Linked DNA regions of Pelodiscus sinensis. The protein of the gene in region 1 interacts with the protein of each later gene in a biochemical or structural test. Links are inferred from orthologs where the notes say so. Each region holds a gene or a part of one and is shown on either strand. Other genes may lie near its edges.

Evidence for each region. The genes of interacting proteins can lie anywhere in the genome.
Region 2: the proteins of MAPK8 (region 1) and GSTP1 form a complex in vitro, tested with the Homo sapiens proteins (2 studies listed by BioGRID). The link is inferred for Pelodiscus sinensis from reciprocal best matches to the Homo sapiens genes MAPK8 and GSTP1.

Annotation. Positions count from the first base shown.
Region 1 is NC_134718.1:5,443,563-5,454,147, forward strand, and holds the start of MAPK8 (mitogen-activated protein kinase 8), read left to right. Parts: upstream 1-5,897; 5' UTR 5,898-5,982; intron 5,983-10,585. UniProt on the Homo sapiens protein: Serine/threonine-protein kinase involved in various processes such as cell proliferation, differentiation, migration, transformation and programmed cell death.
Region 2 is NC_134714.1:128,931,000-128,941,561, forward strand, and holds GSTP1 (glutathione S-transferase P), read right to left. Parts: upstream 4,429-10,562; 5' UTR 4,314-4,428; coding exon 4,313-4,313; intron 4,236-4,312; coding exon 4,197-4,235; intron 3,403-4,196; coding exon 3,296-3,402; intron 2,786-3,295; coding exon 2,698-2,785; intron 2,334-2,697; coding exon 2,230-2,333; intron 1,929-2,229; coding exon 1,821-1,928; intron 1,461-1,820; coding exon 1,272-1,460; 3' UTR 1,214-1,271; downstream 1-1,213. UniProt on the Homo sapiens protein: Conjugation of reduced glutathione to a wide number of exogenous and endogenous hydrophobic electrophiles. Involved in the formation of glutathione conjugates of both prostaglandin A2 (PGA2) and prostaglandin J2 (PGJ2).

The DNA of each region.
Region 1 (10,585 bases):
TAATGCACAATTTCGACATCCCTTAACCCTCGTGGAATGAGGATTACAGGGATGCTGAAATAGCACTACCATAATTTCAAAAAATATTTTGAAATGACAGGTGCGTTTAAAAGACGCAGGATAGCTATTTATAGTCCCGCTATCTAGACATAGACTTGTAGTGTGGGTCTCAGGAACCTTGCACTGAGCTAGCCCTGGCGCTTTAGAGAAAAACTGGTGCCAAAGCAGTTGTAGGAGCACTAGAAAACATTAGCACCAGGCACTAAAATGCTGAGATAAAAGTGCTTTGTAATAGGGGATACTCACCTCTTGAAAACTTCCTAGAGGCTGGGTGCAGACCAGTTCTTTTCTCTCCCCAATCACCCGCTCTAGGCTGCCAGACAAACTTGGCGAGTCCTCCATGGCTTGGTTCTCTGACCTGTCATGAAGTCCACACAAACCCGTTACAGGGTATTAAAAAGTCCTGTCATCCTCCCTCAGCCCTACAACAGCTCCATCTCTGTGCTGTTCATTAGCCCTGTTCTCTTCTTGGGATTTATGCCACCATGGCCGGTAGGGAAACGCAGGTCCATCCTTTACACAGCAGCTGTGCTTGCTTCAATTTCAGTTTATTGCTTCTTCTCTGGGCCTCTTCCTGCCTGGCCCCTTTTAGCTTCACACTTAGCTCAGGGTTAAGGTCCTTAAATCCTTTCTCTCCCTGCAGACCCAGTTTAATCAAAAGTAGTCAGAAACAAACTCTGGCTATTCCTTGAGTTCCTTTAGCTAGAGGAGGAGTGGGTGGGGGAGCAAGGTGGGACCTCTCTGTTCCCAGCCTGGAACTGACCAGAGTCCCTGCAGTGTCTTTTATCTGAGCTGGCTGGATGCTGATTGGTTTCTTGGCACAAAGCCTCTCTATGCAGGCTCAAACCTTTCCTGTTTCTTTCCTGTCTCTGCTGGAACCTGGGGTGGGGTGCCATAGGATTGTGGGGCTCTGGTAGGGAGCCACAAAGGCCACACGCACCTTGCCACATGCAAATATGTCAGGTAACAATTATTAAAGCATGAAGGCACCAGCACAATGAAGAAGGCAGAGAGGCACTGGACAAGCGGATGCATATGTTCCATGGCTGTAAGCCAAAGCTCTGGATGAACAGGCTGAAGGCAAGGGCCTCAGGAAATGTACTGTTTCTAAATGCCAGAGCCACAGCTCCTGTGATGGGGAAGTGCCTTACCAGATGACTGGAATGTGCCAAGTGCAGCTCCCAGACTCAGGGTGTAGCTGGCCATGGACATTTGGGGGCCAGCAGTAGGTTCCAGGGCAAAGGAGCAGAGCTTGGGAGGGGCAGAGAGAAACACACTGAACTGGTGGTGCCAGTCCTTGTGGGGCACAGACACAGTGAACTGGGCAGAGAGCCTGGACCCTTGGGGTACGTCTAGACTACATGCCTCTGTCGGCAGAGGCATGTAAAATAGGCTACCCGACATAGTCAGTGAAGTGGGGATTTAAATATCCCCGGCTTCATTAAAATAAAAATGGCCACCATGCAGTGCTGGATCAGCTGATTGTCAGCACAGCAGGGCAGTCAAGACGTGGGGACGGAAGCTGCTTCATTGACTATGTCGGGTAGCCTATTCTACATGCCTCGGCTGACAGAGGCATGTAGTCTGGACATACCCTTGTTGGCTGTGTCTAGACCGGCAAGTTTTTCTGCAAAAGCAGCTGCTTTTGCAGAAAAACTTGCCAGCTGTCTACACTGGCCGCTTGAATTTCCGCAAAAGCACTGACTTCCTACTGTCTGAAATCAGTGCTTCTTGAGGAAATACTATGCTGCTCCCGTTCGGGCAAAAGGGCCAGTGTAGACAGCTCAGATTTGTTTTGCGCAAAACAGCCCCGATTGCGAAAATGGAAAAGCGTCCGTGCCAATCTAGACGCTCTTTTCCGTTAAAAGCATTTGCGGAAAATCATGCCAGTCTAGACGTAGCCGTTGAGTGCTGAAGGAGAGATTGTATACACTGAACTGGAACTAAACCCAGAAGGATGATGGATGTGCACAATATGCTGGTGGCACCTTCGTTCTTAAGGGGGGGCCACATAAAATTGAGCAGGCCCCAGTCCCTATGGCACATAGTGGGGAGATATGAGTGGGCCTAGTTTCTGGGCTGGCACAGTGTTCTGGGGTCTGGCTGTCTGGGAGCACACAGAGCTGGGGACTGGTCTCTGTTCAGGACACACTGAGGTTGGCAGGGGAGGAGTCTGGTAGGAGTGCCTGTTCTGTTCATTCCTTCTGGGGCATCTGACACTGGCTACTGTCAGAAGACAGGATACAGCCACTCTCTGAGTTACGAACAAGTTACGGATCAACACTTGGTCCGTAACTCGAGCTGTTCGTAACTCGGACCCCATTGAGTTACACGTGATCGCGCTGTTCATAAGCGCGGATCGCGTTCGTATCTCGGGGACCACCTTTACGACCGCTCCATGGGAGCTTTGGTCGTAAGTGCGAACGGTCGTAACTCAACCGTTTACAACTCGGGGAGCGGCTGTACTGTGCAAAATGGGCCGCTATAGCTATTTTTACCTTTTCTTTAAGGAACATTCTTTAAGTCCCTTATTTCATTAATTTGTCATACACAAGGGAAGGCCGAATCTCATCTGTACAGAGCAGTATTAAGTCGTGTAAATGTTGATTGAAGCTTGTTTTCAGGGTAGAATTCAGACTGAAGAAACATGGAATTTTAACAAAAACTAATTCCAAAGCTAAAAATAAAAATTCAAAATTGTGCTGAATTGTGCGCCTAAAATAAAAATCATGGATGTTGCTTCATATTTGAGACGCTGCGTTAAAACATATTAATATTCAGATGTTTTTCCACCTCATCCCTTTGGTTTTTGCACTTGTAACACAAGTAAGGAAATGCTAGGAAAAATTTAGAAAACTTCTGGAAAGGTACATTCATGACTAAGTACCAAAAGCCTAACCACATGGCTCTTCTATTATGTTTCATTGAAACAAGTACTGTGTACAGGGGAAAGGATGGGGCTTTGAAACACGGTACCCTAATCATTCTCCTTCCAATTTTTTAAAATGTGTGGAATTTATTACTTTTATTCCTACCTCAATTGCAGCAGTGGAAAGAACATTTTACTTGTTATCCAGGTATAGAAAAACTGCAGAAACCCGCTAAATATTGACACTGTTAAAGCTGAACTTCAAATTAACATTAATTTCAGTTGGACTGTTAAAGAGCTTTATGAATTAACAAACAAACCCCAAAGATGTGCTGAAATGTTTTAAAACAGGCAAGTACTATTTTAAACAAACTTATGACGACTGCACTGTATGTCTGAGGACAGTTGAAATGTACACATGCCATACCTACTTTGCTATAGGGAAAGGTGTTTCCCTAAAACATCCCTTAAAATAAAGGGTTGTCCCTTATCTATCATGTGGTTTTTCCTTATTTCCATCCCACAAGAGATGGTCACCCTATGGGCTGGTCCTTATTGGGGAAGGACTACTTAGCAGTGGGGACTGACAGGCACATGGAGATGGGGGACGGGTCCCTGTTGGGGGCATATGACACTGAGGTCCTGGGGGTATCCCACGAGGGCATGGAAGGAGGGAGGGGGGGAAAGGAGCTGGTGTCATAGGGTTGTACAGTGGGGAGAACTTAGAGAGCAGGGAGTAGAGTCATGGTGGGGCACAAGGAGCCCGGGTCTGTCCTAGTGGACACACAACATCGCAGGGGTATGTCTGAAAAGGTAGAGGGGGACCATGCAGGGAGGGGCACAGAGATGAAGGGTGGCGCAAGGAACCAGTGGAGTCTGTTCTAGCTTTGTTGGGGGCACACGGAGCTGGGGCGGAGGGGCTGTCTCAGGCTGCACAGAGCAGCGCAGGAACAGGGAAGTATAGGTGGACAAATGGAACAGAATAGGTGCCGTCCAGGAGGCAGGCGGGGGGCAAACAGAGTAGGGGGGGACCTGCCCAGGAGCTGTACTGGGTAGGAGGCTCTGTCAGGAGCCAGATGGAGTGGGGGGCTGTCCAGGAGAGCACACGGGGTGGGGGGCTCTCACGGAGAGAACAGGGTGGAGGGCTCCGCAGATGGGGGCACACGGGCGGGGGGCTCTGACAGGGGAGGGGCACACAGGTGTGGAGGCTCAGATACGGGCACACGGGGCGGGGGGGCTGCCCAGGGTGGGAGGCTCTGAAAGGGAGCACAGGGGGCAGTGGGCACATGGGTTGCGGGTCACACGTGGGAGGGCTGCGGGGGGGGGGGGCTGTCAGGGGGCACATGGGGCGGAGGGGCTGCCGGGGGGGGGGCTCTGACAAGGGGCACGCAGGCGGGGGGCTCTGACGAGAGCGCTGCGTGGGGGCACACGGGGCGGGGAGGGTCGGCGGGGGGGGCACACGGGGCGGGGTGCTGCGCGGGGGGGGCTCAGACGAGAGGGCTGTGCGGAGGGGTCCGCGGGGGGGCTGCGCGAGGCACACGGGGGGGGCACACGGGGGCGGTTGCGGGGGGGCACACGGGGCGGGGGGGCGGGCTGCGGGGGGGCACACGGAGGGGTTGCGGGGGGGCGCACGGGGCGGGGGGCTCTGACGGGGGGGCGCACGGGGGGGTTGCGGGGGGGCACACGGGGCGGGGGGCTCTGACGGGGGGGCGCACGGGGGGGTTGCGGGGGGGCGCACGGGGCGGGGGGCTCTGACGGGGGGGCGCACGGGGGGGTTGCGGGGGGGCACACGGGGCGGGGGGCTCTGACGGGGGGGCGCACGGGGGGGTTGCGGGGGGGCACACGGGGCGGGGGGCTCTGACGGGGGGGCGCACGGGGGGGTTGCGGGGGGGCACACGGGGCGGGGGGCTCTGACGGGGGGGCGCACGGGGGGGTTGCGGGGGGCACACGGGGCGGGGGGCTCTGACGGGGGGGCGCACGGGGGGGTTGCGGGGGGCACACGGGGCGGGGGGCTCTGACGGGGGGGCGCACGGGGGGGTTGCGGGGGGCACACGGGGCGGGGGGCTCTGACGGGGGGGCGCACGGGGGGGTTGCGGGGGGGCACACGGGGCGGGGGGCTCTGACGGGGGGGCGCACGGGGGGGTTGCGGGGGGGCACACGGGGCGGGGGGCTCTGACGGGGGGGCGCACGGGGGGGTTGCGGGGGGCACACGGGGCGGGGGGCTCTGACGGGGGGGCGCACGGGGGGGTTGCGGGGGGCACACGGGGCGGGGGGCTCTGACGGGGGGGCGCACGGGGGGGTTGCGGGGGGCACACGGGGCGGGGGGCTCTGACGGGGGGGCGCACGGGGGGGTTGCGGGGGGGCACACGGGGCGGGGGGCTCTGACGGGGGGGCGCACGGGGGGGTTGCGGGGGGCACACGGGGCGGGGGGCTCTGACGGGGGGGCGCACGGGGGGGTTGCGGGGGGCACACGGGGCGGGGGGGCTCTGACGGGGGGCGCACGGGGGGGTTGCGGGGGGCACACGGGGCGGGGGGGCTCTGACGGGGGGGCACGCGGGGGGGTTGCGGGGGGCACACGGGGCGGGGGGCTCTGACGGGGGGGCGCACGGGGGGGTTGCGGGGGGCACACGGGGCGGGGGGCTCTGACGGGGGGGCGCACGGGGGGGTTGCGGGGGGGCACACGGGGCGGGGGGCTCTGACGGGGGGGTTGCGGGGGGGTTGCGGGGGGCACACGGGGCGGGGGGGCTCTGACGGGGGGGCGCACGAGGGGGTTGCGGGGGGCACACGGGGCGGGGGGGCTCTGACGGGGGGCGCACGGGGGGGTTGCGGGGGGCACACGGGGCGGGGGGGCTCTGACGGGGGGGCACGCGGGGGGGGTTGCGGGGGGCACACGGGGCGGGGGGGCTCTGACGGGGGGGGGGCTGGGAGCCGCGCAGGTCCGGGGGGGGGGGGACGCTCGCGCGGCCGGCGGCGCAGGGGGCGGGGCGGGCGGGGCGCTGCGTCTGTGCGCGCGGCCCGGCTCCGGCTCCGGCTCGTTGCTGAGCGGCGGGGCGGTGAGTGCGGGGCCGCGGCCTGTGTCGGCGCCGGGCGGCCCGGCCCGGTTCGGCTCGGCGCTGGGCGGGGGCGGCGGGGCTAGTGGGGGAGGGGCGGCAGTCACAGTTGGCGGTTGTGGGGGGAGGGGCGGGGGTCGGTGGAATGGTCCCGGGGGGGGAGGGGTGGCAGAAGTGGGTCGGTGCAATGGTCCCGTGGGGGGGGGAGCGGGGTCCCGGGCCCGCCCCCCCCCCCCCCCCCCGTGCAGCGCCCTGCCCCTCTTGTGCACGGTAGCAGGTGGCTGCTTTGCCCCCGCGCGTTGCCCTGGTTCCCGTGGGGGGGCCTGGCTGCAGGGGGGGGGCCGGGGGGGGGGGCTGTCTCTTTGTTGGGCTGGCATCACCAGAGAGGGGCTCTGCTCCTCACCAGCCAGGGTTCCCAAGCTGTGGCAGGGTTTCCTCTCCTCTTGCAATATCTCCCCTGCAGGGCCGCTTGGCACAACTTGATTTTCATTGTTTTAAAAATAATTCTGACAAATATCAGTTTTATTTGAAACTGTGTTTTCAGTCTGTCAGTGTTCACAGAGATGGAAAATAAGGGGGGCTGGTCAGACAAGAATAGAATGACAGTCAGCGCTGAGATTAAACAAGTTAAATAGTCATTAAAACACAAATTGTCAACATCATGCCAGAATATACAAAATACACGTCCTTAAGTCAAACTCTAATAAGTTTTTCTGACTTGGCATAGCTGTATGTTTTTATTATTATCAATGAAAATATCTTTTTGGTTTTCATCACCATTTATTGATAAACTAGATTATTTTTCTCCAAATTTACTTGTATTTTATTGTAAGCTTTTCAGGAAAAAGAGGTTTGAGTTGCTGGAGAATGTAGCAGTTTGAAGTGAATGAGATCTGTAACAAAATTCCAAATGACTGCTTTTGAAAAATGCCTTTTTGTTCTTCTGGGATATTTGACCTCCAAAGACAGCTGCTTAGGAAGTCTGGCAATATTTTTGTCTCTTCTGAAAATCTGCATTTTAAGCCTCATAATTTTTGTCAGAAATAACTGAAATGTTTGCAGTTTTTCTGTTGCCCTCCTCTAGTTTCTCTTTTTTATGAGTACTTTAGTGTCAGATTTGACTCTTCAAGCTTCAGATTTTTTTTTCACATTTTTTAATGCCATGGTTTTATCAATGCAAAGTGCAAGAGCCCGTTAAATGGTCTCTGTTAATAAGCTGCAAATGTGAATCCCATGAGCCTTCTTTCTTCTCAATTATAGTACCATAGTTGGGTTTATACTGTTTTGTTGAATTTCAGTGTTATATAGAGGGAGCCTTGCAAAATTATTATAAACATTTTTCCAGCCCTGGTAGCATATCTGCTCACTTTGCCTGACTCTAATGATGTAAACACAAACAATGTTTTACCCACCTATGTAAAGAAATTAGTTGCTCTAGGGTAAGTTCTGCAACTTCTTGTATTGCAACTTAGTTTTATTTAAAGGTTTGGAGATGACTATTGGTAAAGGCCTGTGATGAATTCACTGAAAAACTAGTTTAATTTTCAGAATTGCAGGCAAATTCATTCTTCTTTGGATTAATCAGAGGCGTAAAACATTGTTTTGTAGCATGTTTTATTTTGTTTGCATAAATTGGTGCACTGTCAAATATTGAGTTAATTTAGAATTAAATCAGATTGTTACCTGAAGGGAGATAGGGTCACATTTAGCTAAGAGTACTAATTAAAAGTGAGTTCAGTGACTTTTCAGACCCTTCATATTGTACATTCCGTAATGAAGAATATATAATAACAAAGGCATAGCTGATGAAATTCAAATAGGCCTATGCTTCTGTTTTGACCTCAGTCCATGGAGGCAGCCATCTTAAATTATTTTTCTTGTATATGAATCCAGTGGCACTTTTCAATGTTTCTATCAAGTAAGTTCTAATGTCGTGGTGTCCAACATGCTAGCTGCTAGCCACATGTGGCTATTTGCCCCGTTGAGTGTGGCTAGGACACCACAGTTCTCATGTATAGAGCAATACACTTTCCCTCTATGTGTATGTGTGTGAAACTGTTTTCTTCACAAGCACAGTCCTGTACTAGTAGAGTGAACTTATTGCTACTCTTTGCTAGTGCTGGATTTTAATTGTACACTTCTTAGTTTGATGTCCATTCTCATTTCTTGTACGCTAATCAGTGAGATCTGATTCACATGTGTAGGGAGTGGGTGATTAGGGAACATACCTGTGGTAGTGGATGAAATGTCCAGGCATTGAGTTTGGCTTTTGGAGAAGGTCTCTGAAAAGTATCAGACAAGAATGAGATCTGATGACCATAGATTGTATTTGATACACATTCACATACACAAAAACTCAATAACTGACTCTGTCGCCCAAATGGAGCTTTCTGAGTGTCCTGGTTCTCCCACTAAATGTATTGGAGTTTTTGTTTCTGTCTTTGCAATTGGGTACTGTAGAATGATTGACTCCCATTTCTGAGCAAGTTTTTTTTATTGGTTAAATTTAATTTAACCTTGAAATATCAATTTATATCTGAACTGCGGGGAGTAGAGTGGAGGAATGGACAACGGAGATCTGAAATGTTGGAAATGTGAATCTTTCGGAATAAGATTATAGACTTTAAAAAGACTATAGAAAAAACTGCAGCATTTTATTTGGTAAACGTGACTCCTGTGTGCACTGAAAACCATATTACCTTGTTTCTTATTGACTACAGGTTGCATCTCTCAAATCTGGGATTCTCTCTTCTGTGGTCTCAACATCTGTGGGCTAGAGATGTTAAATTTCAATTAATCAACTAATTGAGTCGTCGATGGAATTTCCATTGACGACTCAATTAGTCAATAAGGGGGATGCTGGCTATCCCACTGCGCCTGTCCCTTTGAAATGTACGAGAGCTGCCTATGGCTCTTGTACATTACATCAGAGAGGTACAGTAGTTGGGATGCCTGTGCCTCCCTTGTCCCCCATGGAGATGGTGCTGGAGGAACTGGTTTTTAAGCCAGCTCCCCCCAGCCCCGGCTCCTACTCCCCCTCCTTGTTGCCTCTCTCTGACAGAGGCAGCAAAGGGGGGAAGCAACTAGACGAGTGACTACTTGTCAACCTGACTAGTTGCTTACATCCCTACCATGATCCAGCATGTCTATGGATGTTCCTGAATGAGAGACCTGGGTGGGGCAGGAGGGCCTGCAGCTGGGAGCCCGTGCAATCCAGCAAGTCTGCTAGCAGCGGGGTCCCAGCAGCCTGGGATACTCTGCTGCGTGGCAGTGGGGCTGAGACCGCAGCAGCCCAAGAGGGGAAGCCTAGTCTGGGAGGTGGCAGGGCCGCAGCAGCCCGGGCGGCAGTGGCAGCAGCAGCAGCAGTGTGATTGGGGCTGCCTGCTGCCCGTCAGTGGAACCAGAGCTGTGGCTGCAGCAGCCCAGGAGGGCGAGCCAGCCTGGCAGAATCGGCATGGCCTGGGCCACGTGCTGCAGCGTTGGGGTTGTGGCAGCCCAGTAGGGCAACATGCCGTTCCGGCAGTGGGGCTAGAGCTGCCCGACTGGCCCACAGACAGACCAGCCAGGCTCAAGGAGCCGGCATTGGGCTGAGTGGCTGGTATCAGGGAACCTCCTGTTTGGCAAATTCGCTCTTCTAGGACCTGTCAGGTCCCAGGAGTGCTGGATAAGAGAGGTCCAACCTATAGTAAGATTTTATTCCTGTTAGCCCTGTAGAACCAATTCAGCAATGGGAGGATGAGCAGGATTCACTTCTGGCTTGTGCATCACCACTGATAGCATTGCTAGTTAGGTTTCTGATGTTAGAATCTTCATTGTGATGATTCATGAGTCAGAAGCCCAGCATGGTTTTCAGATTCCAGGTAAGTTTTCAGGTTTGGCAATTTAGGGCGGCAGGGGAATCTGATTTTGTACACTGAGCAAATTTGAACTGGAGTTGCGGAGAGACCAAATGGTAAACCTCAAAATGCCATTTTTAGATCACTTTCCATAGTAGAGAATTAGTCTACAAAAAGGGAGAAAAGAATTTTCCAGGGGAAAACAGTTTTATCAAACATGCTGATTTTCGGGAGTTTACGGTTTTGAAGCTTTGTAGAAATGTTTTAAGCAGCGTGTTAATGTTAGAAGCATTTGGGATTGTAGTTCTTCCTAGGGATGTATGTGAGCAGTTGATTGCTCGCACTCCCGCTCCCCCCTTGCAGCCCCAGTATCAGGCGACTCCCCAGCACTGTCTCTGCGGTCCCGCCTGCCCCCTTCCCTCAGAGGCTGCAGCGCAGGGTGGTTGATGGGCAGGAGAGGCTGCTGTGAAGCAGCCTTTGTCCACGGGGGTTCCCAGCGAGGAGCTGGGATCCCCTATGGACAGGGGCTGCTGCAATGAAGCAGACCATGTCTACGGCAGCCTGGGCTGGCCATGAACACAGGCTGCTCTGACAGCAGCCTCTGTCTGTGGGGGTGGGGTCCCAGCTCCCCATCGGGAGCCCCCGCGTACAGGGGCTGACTTGCATTGGGTCCGGGACCTGTCCCTGCTTCAGCTCTGCATTTTAAATGCAGTTGCTCTTACTACATTTAAAATGCAGAACTGTAGTGGGGGTAGCTCCCGGGCCGGTGT
Region 2 (10,562 bases), on another chromosome or scaffold:
GGAGACCTTAATCCGCCTCTTGCCTGCTCACTGGACTGCCTGGCTGGGCTCCCAGATGCATTCAGCCCCTGGAGCCTCAGCAGAGCCCAGGCCCTGTCTCAATCTGGGGGTCCCTAGGCCCACACTTGAGGCACAGACCCTCTGGCTAGTGTCCCCTCCAGTGCAGCAGCCCAGCCCCTGGGCTCAGAATGGACCCTTGTAGCATAAACCCCCTCGCCCAGCTCGCCACCACCAGCCAGGCTCCCGGCTCACTCCCAGAGAAACCCACAGCCCCTTTGCCTCACGTCTCCCCTAGTTGCACAGTCACCAGGCCTGCAGCCCTGAAGTGCATCGCTCTGCCTTAGCCGCCTCCCCACTCAGCACACTCCTGGGCTGGGGTCAAAGTCCCCTGGGCCAGCCAGGCCCTTAAGCAGAGCAGGGTTCGTCTGCCGTGCGAGCGGTGGAGGCTTCCTCAGCTCGGCTGCACCTTCCTTCCTGCCCACACTGCCTGCCTTCCGCCCACGTTTAACATACCTCCCAGGTCAGGCTGGGCCCACCAGGCTGAGCAGGGGCCGGCCCCCAGGGCAGGGGAAAGCAGGCCCACGGCCTTTTCATTAGACATGGGGAGAATGGGATTTTATGGGCTAAGACCTCCAGGAGCAGCACCAACCTCTGCACCAGGCAACCTGCCCCACAGCATGCTTCCTGCCCCCGCCCCAAGGCTCTCGGTGGCGGTGAGTCTGCCAGGCCTCCCTGGCGTCCCAGGGCTTGCGGGCACAGCCCTGGCGGTACAGCCTGCCCCCAGCCGAGCCTGGCCCGATGGAATGGGGCAGGATAAATGCAGAGCATGCCATTCCCACAGCACTCTCCCCTCTGGATGGGGGCACAGCCCTCCAGGGCTCCTGGCAGCCACCGCAGTGGTGGGACGGGATCTTCCCTAGGCGCCGCAGGCTCTTGGGTACAGCCAAGGAGCAGAATAGCTCTGGGACGAGGTAGCCCATGTGCCTGGGTAACACACCCGACACCTCCCCCCTCCCCGAGCTGCTTAGGACAGCAGCAGTTGTTCCCAAAATCCCAGCTCCTGGGATGGCCCTCCAGCCTGGGCAGCCTAGGGGAGGGGGCACCTGCTAGCGCCGTGGGGGGCTGCTGCAGCACCTGGAAATAGGCTTCATCTCATGCATCAAGCACCAACCCCTCTCCCCACTCCTGCGCCCCCCATAATAGCAGGCAGGGGTCTGGTCCAGTAGCTGTTTATTGTGCCACAGGGCGGCCCCTCTGTCAGTGCACGCAGGTCACTGCTTGCCATTGCCGTTGATGGGCCGGTCGCGGTGGGCGGTCGACTGCAGGTAGGTGTGTAGGTGGGGCCGGGCAGCCACCCGCTCCGCGTAAGCCGCCAGCAGAGGGAAGGAGGCCAGGCAGCCGGGTGCCAGGACCAGGTGGTTCCGCAGCAGCTCCACCAGGTTATAGTCTGCAAAAGAGATCTGGGGGGAAAGGGATGGGGTCAGCGCATGGCCACGCCCCTGCATGTGGAAGGGCGGGGTCGGCACAGCCACACCCCCAGGCAGCTTGGCCACACCCCCATTGTGTGGGGCCCAGGGACAATGAGACCCTGGCCAGCTGGGCTAGGAGAAGACTGACAAAGAAACACCCCAGCTGATTTGGGGGGCAGGAGTGGGGAGATACCCCCTCCCCACAACACACTCACCTCATCTCCAACCCCCTCCCCACAACACACTCACCTCATCTCCAACCCCCTCCCCACAACACACTCACCTCATCTCCGACCCCCTCCCCACAACACACTCACCTCATCTCCAACCCCCTCCCCACAACACACTCACCTTATCTCCGACGATGAAGGCCTGGCCAGAGCGGTTCTGGGACAGCAGGTTCTCAAAGGGGCGCAGCTGGGCTGGCAGGGCTTCCACGTACGCTGTCTTACCCTTCTCCTGGGGGAGGCAGGGGGTCAGGGTCTAGCTGCTCCCCCAGACACCCCCCCACTACAACAGGGCCCACCCACACCACAATGGGGCCTGCCCCCATGCTGGTCCCACACCCCCACTGAGCCCCAAGTCACCCCTGCCCGCACTGCAATGGGGCCCACTCCGGCCTCCGAGCAGAGGCGCCACTCCTGCCCCACCCTGACTGGGCCTACCCCCCAGTGCTGGAGCTGCCCCATTCCCTGCCCCCACTCTGCGGGGGTGCGCCCCCTCTGGCCTCCTGCCCGATGCAGATTCTGCCCTGGCTCACATAGTTCTGGTAGATGAGCTGGGCGTATTTGAGGCGCAGATCTTCCACCCCATCGTTCACCATGTCCAGCTGCGCCGCCTCCTGCTGGTCCTTCCCATACAGCCCTGCCAGAGCGAGAACCGCCATCAGTGGGGGGAGGGGGGCTTCCCCCAGCCCTCTCCCCACACACCCAGCCCTGCCTCCTGCTGGTCCTGTCCCTATAGCCCTGCCCGAGCAAGAGCCGCCATCAGCAAGGGGCCCTCCCTCAGCCGCCTCCCCCCACACTCAGGAGACCTGCCCCCCCAACATTCTGCCCCCCACACCCTCAGGAGACCTGCCCCCCCAACATTCTGCCCCCCCATACTCGCCCCCTACGCCCAGCCCAGCCCCCCCAAACTCCTTCCCGCACAGCCCTGCCAAAGGAGAGCCCCCACCAGTGCAAGAAGCCCCCCTCCCCAGCTGCCAGTGCCTGGCCCCTCACAGCCCTACCGAAGCTCCTGGCCAGGTGCCGCAGGATGGCGTTGGACTGGTACAGGGTTACGTTTCCATCCTGAAACTTGGGCAGCTGCCCGAACAGCTGTAGGGAACAGGAAATCTGAGGTGAGGGGTCACTAGTCCTGGATGGGGCCAGCAGGGCAGGGTGAGCCCATGGGACCCGCTCCCCGAGGGACCCGCTCCCCGAGGGGCATGGGGCAGAGCAGCCTCTCAGTGGGGCAACAGGAAGACAGACCAGAAAGCAATAGGGGGAGAGGACTCTGAACCAGTGCCCCCACCCCCTGCTAGGACCCCCTCCTCCCTCTCCATGGGTCATGCCTCCCATCTCCCCTAGGGGTGCCCCCTTCTCAACCACGGGAACAGGTCTCCAGTCTCCCCTGAGATGCCCCCTACCAGTCATGGTGCCATCTCCCTGCTCCTCCAGTTGGGTCTCCCTTCCCCACTGGGTCTCCCCTCCGCACTGGGTCCCCCCTCCCGGCTCCTCCAGCTGGGTCCCCCCTCCCCACTGGGTCACTCCCCCCACTCCTCCAGCTGGGGTCCCTCCTCCCCTCAGGGCCCCTCCAGCACCGAGGCTTGGGCAGGTTTCACTCACACAGGATTTCTTGAGCTCTCCCTTCTGCCACAGCTCCATGGTCACCACATCCTCCTTCCACTCCTGCTCCTGGTCGGCCAGCAGCATTCGTATGGCCTCGCAGCGCCCTGCACACGGCAGGGGCAGGTCCTCATTTGTGGCCCCCCAGGGCACAGACAGATCCCCCCCCCCACACACACATTGAAGCACCCCTGGGCATGGACAGACACCCCCCCACACACACACACCCTGCAGGGCTCCTGGCAAACGGCTCACACACACCCTGAAGCGCCCCTGGGCACGGACAAGCTCCCGCACACACACCCTGCGGCGCCCCATGGCCCCACCCAGACCCCAGGGCATGGACACATCCCTCTGCAACTCCCACAGGGCACGCACAGACCTGCCCCTACCCCATGCACACACCCTGCAGCTCCCCACAGCCCCCTCCAGCCCCCAGGGCACAGGCACCCCCATCCTCCTTACCACCCAGCCCCTCCCCCCTGCTCCCCACCCTCTTATCACTCAGGACTGCCCCCCAACACCCCCACTGCACCCAGGGCACCCACCGAGCTAAAGGGGAGCCCAGAGCTGGGACAACAGGGGGCTGCAGAACGGGGGGGGCAGGGCTAGGACAACGGGGGGCTGCAGGGCGGGGGGGGGCCGGGCTAGGACAACGGGGGGCTGCAGGGCGGGGGGGGGCCGGGCTAGGACAACGGGGGGCTGCAGGGCGGGGGGGGCAGGGCTAGGACAACGGGGGGGCTGCAGGGCGGGGGGGCAGGGCTAGGACAACGGGGGGGCTGCAGGGCGGGGGGCAGGGCTAGGACAACGGGGGGGCTGCAGGAGGCCCGGGCAGCGCTGGGGGGCAGGCGCCGCACCCCGGGCTGGGCAGCCCGCTGGCCGGGGTCCCGCCGTCACTCACCGCGCACGGGGAAGTAGGTGATGGTGAAGGGCCCAGGCACTGCGGAGAGAAAAGGAGGCGCCGGGTTAGCGAGCCGGGCGGGGGGGGGGATTGGGGGCGCGGGGGGGGACACTCACTCTCTGCAGCCGGATCCCGCTCGCTGGCGAAGTGCTGAGTCACCCGCCCCCGGGGCTTTAAAAGCTCCGAGACGGGCGCCGCCCCCTCCCCGCCCCCAGCCCTGGGGCCGGGCTTAGCCGCTTCCCGGGACCCAGGGAGCGGGCCGCGTCCCAGCGCCGGGCAGCTCCCTGCCCTGCCTCAGCCCAGCCCCACTGGGACCCCCTGCCCCTGGGGGGCCGCCTGGGGGGGCAGGTCTTGGCACTCGTCCCTGGGGGGCGGCTGTGGGGCCAGGCTACTTGCTCCTTGGGGTGCGTATGCAGGGGTTCACTTCCCTAGTCTGTAGAAACAACCCGAGGAGGCCTGCGGCACCTGGAAGACTCACAATGTACTTGGGCACAAGCTTTCATGGGCAGAAACCCACTTCGTCAGATGCCCGTCCCAGCCCACTCTGGCCATAGCCGGGGGAGATTCACCCCCACCCTCCCAGCTCCAACCCAGTCGTGGCCTGGATCGGCCCAAGGATGCACAGCAGAAGGGGAAGCATCACTCACTGACTCGCTCCCAGGGGCTGTGGTGACCTCCACACATACCTAGTTCACCCCTGGGCTCTGTGACTCCATACCTGTCCCAGCTGAGACAGGTAAGCTGATGCCCAGATACAGCCATGAGTCTCTCAGGTGCCATAGGACTCCCTCCTTGTTTAAAAGGATTTGATTTGTATTACTCTTAGCACATCATCCTGTAACTCCGTTAGCACCGGGCGGCTGCCGTCACTGCGTGTTTCTAATACGGGAGTCGCTGAAAACGACCCTACTGCTGAGAACTCCGGGAGTCGCTGAAAACGACCCTACTGCTGAGAACTCCGGGAGTCGCTGAAAACGACCCTACTGCTGAGAACTCTGGGAACCCCATGTTTGTATCGCAGCAATCAGCTTGCATTCCACATTTCCCTTCTGTTTTTCCTCCAGGTTTTTAATACACAAGCTTATTCTTCTGGAGAGCATATGACACCAGGCTGACTGATTTCCTGGCTCCTGCCCAAACTTCTTCCGTTCCCCTTGATCCAACCAGGGGGCTTGCTTCTCTCTCCATCACCCTCCTTGTGTGTAGAAGTCGGTTCCCAAATATTCAGCACAGGCCAGGTTTGTAAAGGTTGAAAGCACTGTGATGCTTTTGAAAATGGCAAGAGTTGCCTAAATACCTTTAGGAACTGTATTACCTTGTATGCAAGTGTTCTCAAAAGCAATTTCAACTGTGATTTTTACTAAATAGAGGGATACAAGCCCAGGAGATATTGACAGCTGCAAGCATTCAAAAATAATGCCATACACCCCAAAGGCATGAGATTTAAATGAATAAGGTCATTCTGTGTTCTTTTAATTTGCCGTTTTCTTTATAAGTAGAGCCCGGCAAATCTGTGGGTATGCGCATCCGTGGATGTGGATATCCAGGGATCGTTTTTTGCAGACGCAGATATCCGTGCAGAGCTCTATTCGGTTAACTACATAGCCATTCACATCCCTAATACCTAAATGTGGATCTTCTACTGAATTGTTATATTTCTAGACCCAGGCGATGAGTGAGGGTAGGGCACGAGGAGGCACATGGCCCAAACGCCATGGGTGGGAGGGACAAAGGGCTGGCCAGTAGCCGGTGGGGGGACTAGCAAAGGGGGGGGGTGTCTGGTGCCCACAGCTGGGTTTCCCCCCTCATACTCAGTAGCAGCAGTAGGGCAAGTGTCTCACTCTGGTCCCCCGGCCACGTCGCTTGGGGGAGAGGCAGGACCAACCTGCATTCACCTGTGAGAAACGGAGCAACACAGCTGAGAGCGTGAAACAAACTGGAGCTGTGTTGCTCTGTGTGCCCTGTCATTGCCAGTGAGTGTGGGGGGGACACACCCCTGCTGTTGCTACGGACGCCCAGCCCTGCAAGTTCCCTCAGCTAGGGATGTAATAGCATCGTCCATTAACCGAGAAGCAAAAGCTTACAGGTTACTGCTATAGACTACATATATTTCCCTCCCTCACACTTGCCAGTAAATTTTTTAGCAGGCTGACCAGCAGCCCGACTGAGTTCTGGCTCACACCAGGTCTGCAGCTTTGCATTTAAAGTGTATTAGGAGCCAAGCAGGCAGGCAGCCTGGCTCAGTTCTGGCTTGTGCTGGGTCGGAGAGCTCAGATTCCCCTTAGACAGGGATTGTTGCCACGCCACGCTGCTGCCTCTTTATCAGAGGCAGCAGCTCTGGGCGACAGGGCAGCCAATCCACAAGGGGAGCTGGTTTTTAAACTGGTTCCCCTCATGGACCAGCTCCCTTCTTACACCCCGTGCTGCTGCCTCTGATACAGTAGCTGCTGGCCCCGCCCCCGGGAACTATAGAATAGTTGACTAATCGATGAGAATTCATGAGGTTACTCGACTATTCAGTTAACCAATATTTAACATCCCTACCCTCAGCTGCATCGCTCAGGGGAGGAGGAAGAGCTGTGACAGGGATGGAGCAAAGATAGGACTGAGCTGAGGGGAGTTGTTTCTGCCCTTCTTCAGGCTTGGGGGTGGGCACGTGGCCCCCCCAGGTCTCCCTTCACCAATTGCCTTGCTTCTAAGTGTGTGTTTCCCTAGCCTTCTAAGTATGCTACATGTTTTATTGTGATCCATTTCATTCTTCATTCTGACAAGTTCACTGGTTCATTCAGCCAAAATCAAGGGGTTTTTTAAAGAATGAATTACCCTGTTACTCCTTCGCAGTGGCCAGGCGGCAGGAAAGCACGCCTGCTGTGACATGGTCAGTACCCCGTATTCTTCACAGTGCTATTGTGGCAGTATGATTCTGGCATCGTGACGCTGTGTTTTGTACAAGAGACGTTACGGGCGGCGTCATTAGAGAAGTGACGATTTGCCCGATAGGAGCATTCCGTGTGTTGGCCTGGCTCAGGTTTGTGTCAGACGTTCTCAGTGGTGACTATGTGCCTGGGTTTCAGGTGGAGTTTCATGAGGGCAATACCCACTGGGCATGATGCTTTCAGGCTAGGTAGCTGCTTGGGAAGGGCCTATTCCTGGTAATGGGCCATTAGGGGAAAAGCAACAAGCCTTAGGAGGAGCGTATCCACCACCTGAGCCTTTCTCAAGACACTCCAGGCAACCTGTGAGTAAGGGCTGCCGTGACTCAGCAAGGGCCTGTGGCCAGGTCACGTGATCCCAGACTCCACCTTGGGATGTGCCAGTGTTTTTCCACAAACCGAGTTTGGGACACAGGGTTCCCACCATGTGCTAAAGCTGCCTCAGGCAGGGAGGGACATCATGGGGGAGGGGGTTCTTCTTTCCCCTCTGGGAAGTGTCCTGGAGACACCTGAGGAACTAAGACTAAACGGTGGTGGGCGGGGGAGTGCTGGACTCAGGCTAAAGGGATTTCTAGCGTGTGCATGAAATGGGGGCAGTGCACCAAGATCCCCTCCCTCCCCGGGGCCACAGGAACATGAAAGGAATGGCACAGAGCAAGTGGCAGGAAGCTGCCTTAGCCCAACTGAGCTGCTACTGTTGACGGCAGGAGCCCCTGGGCCATTTTAAATCACCCAGGGGTGGCCGGCAAGGCTGTGGGATATGCAGTTGGGATCACATGAGCTGGGGAATGCACTGGAGGGGAACTTCAAGAGCGGGCCTTGGCCTCAAACTTTGGTGGAGCAGGAATATTCCTGCTGCCTGGGCACCATGGGCCCATATAACTCGCCGCCTATATTTTCTGGGTAAACTGGTTTGCTCTGTTTGCTATCCCTTATAATCACTGACATTCTACCTCTTGTAGCTAATAAACTTTGTTTTTGCTTTATCTAAACCGTCAAGTCGGAGTGAAGTGTGTAGGAACCATAGCTCAAGGCGCAAAGGCCCCTCCCACAGTGAAGGAGGGGGTGACCTTTGAGCTTATGCTGCATGGTTCACTGTGCAGCACCAGGCAGTGTTATTTGGGAGTTACACTCGAGGGATTGGAGCCCAGGGGACGGGAGTTGCCTTCACTGGAGCCTTTCTGTTGTTGGTTCCTTGCAGGGGCTGGTCAGACAGCCTGCTTGTACTGCAACTGGGTGTGTCCCTACCCGTGTGTGGGCTAATGAAAGGGCAGGCCTGAGGGTTTTCAGCTTGTCACAGCAGCACAGTGAGAGATGGAGCCCTGGCTGGTGGGTTAGGGGCTCAGTGGTACCCCCATTCTAGGTGGCACCCCAGGGGGCACAGTGGCATATGCGAACAGGGTCACATGTCCAGCTTGTTGCTCAGAGATTTGCACTTCATACAGAATGGCAATTTTAAGTGTCATGGCTCGAGATGAATCCGAGAGATTACCAATCTGTTATTTTCTGTTGGTTTATTTGGGGTCAGGGAGCTAGAGACAGAAAAGCAGGAAGAGGAGGGAAAACAGTGAAACTGTTGTGAAAGTGGAGCTGTGCAGATCGCAGGCAGAGGAAAAAGCAAGCGAACCCCCAAAACCGTTGGAGACAAAAAGAATTTCAGAAAGAAGAAACTGAAGCCCCGAAGGAAGTCACGAAAGCAGCGAATGCAAGGCCGGGAGCACACACCAGTGAGTTTTGGAACCGAGACAGGCAGAGGAAGTCAAAGAAATGGCAATCCAGGAATTAGCCAGGGGGGAGGAAGAAAGAAGAAGAAAGCACCAATGAAGAGGCAGAACCAGATAAAAGATTTGATGGGGAAAAGGATTGCAGGGTTGATGTTGAGTATCAGGCCCGCTGATGGGGGGGGGGGGGCAATTTTCTCTGGGTCTGATGATTCAGAAGAGACCTGGATTTCCAGCAGCAGCGGCAGCTGGTGTCCTGGGCCCTTTAAATCAAGACCAGAGCTCCAGGAGCTGGGCACCCCTGAAGGGCTAGTCCCAGCTCTGCCTCTTCTCCTGAGGCCGTGCCCCTTCCAAGAATACATCCCCCACCCCTCCCACACACACATCTTGCCCAGGGGCCCAGCAATTCTGTGGCCCCCTCTGTTGCGTATCCCACTGAAACCCCAGAGGAAAAGGGTAAAGTCTCAGGTACTGCTGGAGGAAGGGGACAGTGTCTCTTTAATTCCTTTGCCGTGGTGGGAAAGTCTATGCTTCCGGGGTGGGGGTGGTTGAGACCAGTTCCTGCCCCGAGCTTGAAGGCAGCAGAAAGGGAGGGCGTGTTGCCTCACAGGGAGAAAACTGTCCAGGTTGCTGGCTGCCAGCAGGCGGCAGAGGAACAAAGCACAGCCCTCACTCTGGGCAGCGGGTTTCCAACTTTTTTTCTTATGACACCCCCCCCCCCCCCCCGTGAAGAAAATTATTGTTGCCCCGCGACCCAATGTAATTTGACTAGAGTGTGGGCTCTGGGGTGGGAGCTTTGGGGTGTAGGAGGGGCTCTGGTTTTGGGGGGTCAGGGATGAGGCAGGAGGGGCTTATCTTGAGCAGCTCCCGGCCAGCCGTGCAGGGGGGGGTGCTAAGGCAGCTTCCTGCCTCTCCGGCCACCAATGCCCCCGGAAGCAGCCAGCAGCTGGTTCCCAGACTGGGAATGTAGAGCTCGTGCTCCGGGCAGGGGCAGTGCACGGAGCCCTGTGCATTCTGCCCCCTGCAGCTAGGGGCCAGGTCTGTTGTCAGCCACTTCTGGGGCGCAGCACAGTCTGCAGTGCCAGGAGAGGCAGGGAGCTGCCTTAGCCTCCCCCGCTCCCCCCCGCCCACTGGTCACCTGCTCCCCCTGCAGCAATGAGACCCAGCGCCCGGCATTCCGCCGTCCAGTCCTGGGGCACGACCCCTCGTTTGAAAACCACTGCTCAGGGAGATGTGCCCTGCTGGGAAGCCCAGAGGGGCGGGTGGAATCCTGGAGACCGCTGAGGTGGGCGAGGGTTGCGTGGACCCTGTAGCTGGAGGCAAACCCGACTCGTGCCTGCGCGTGAAGGAACGGTCCAGGCTGTTAGCTGCCAGCTCGGCACAGCTGGACGGAGATCGGAGTCCATGAGGGAGGGGGGGTGTCTTGGAGGGGGCCCCAGAGGAGGAAGCCAAAAAGGAATTAGCAGGAACACAGGAATGTTTCCTTGCTGATCGCATTATTGGGGGGGGGTGTCCAGGACAGAAACGCTGGGTCAGTGTCTGTGCTCCCAGGCATCCAACCTGTGGCTCAGGCTTTAAGGAGTTGTCACTTATCTCCTGGAGAGGAGCAGTCACACAACTGAGCTCTTGGGGAGGGGGGGGTGACAGAAGATACCCCAGTCCAGGTCCCACTGTTGCAAAGGGTTGTTCCTGAGGCGCTTGGGGAACCTAAC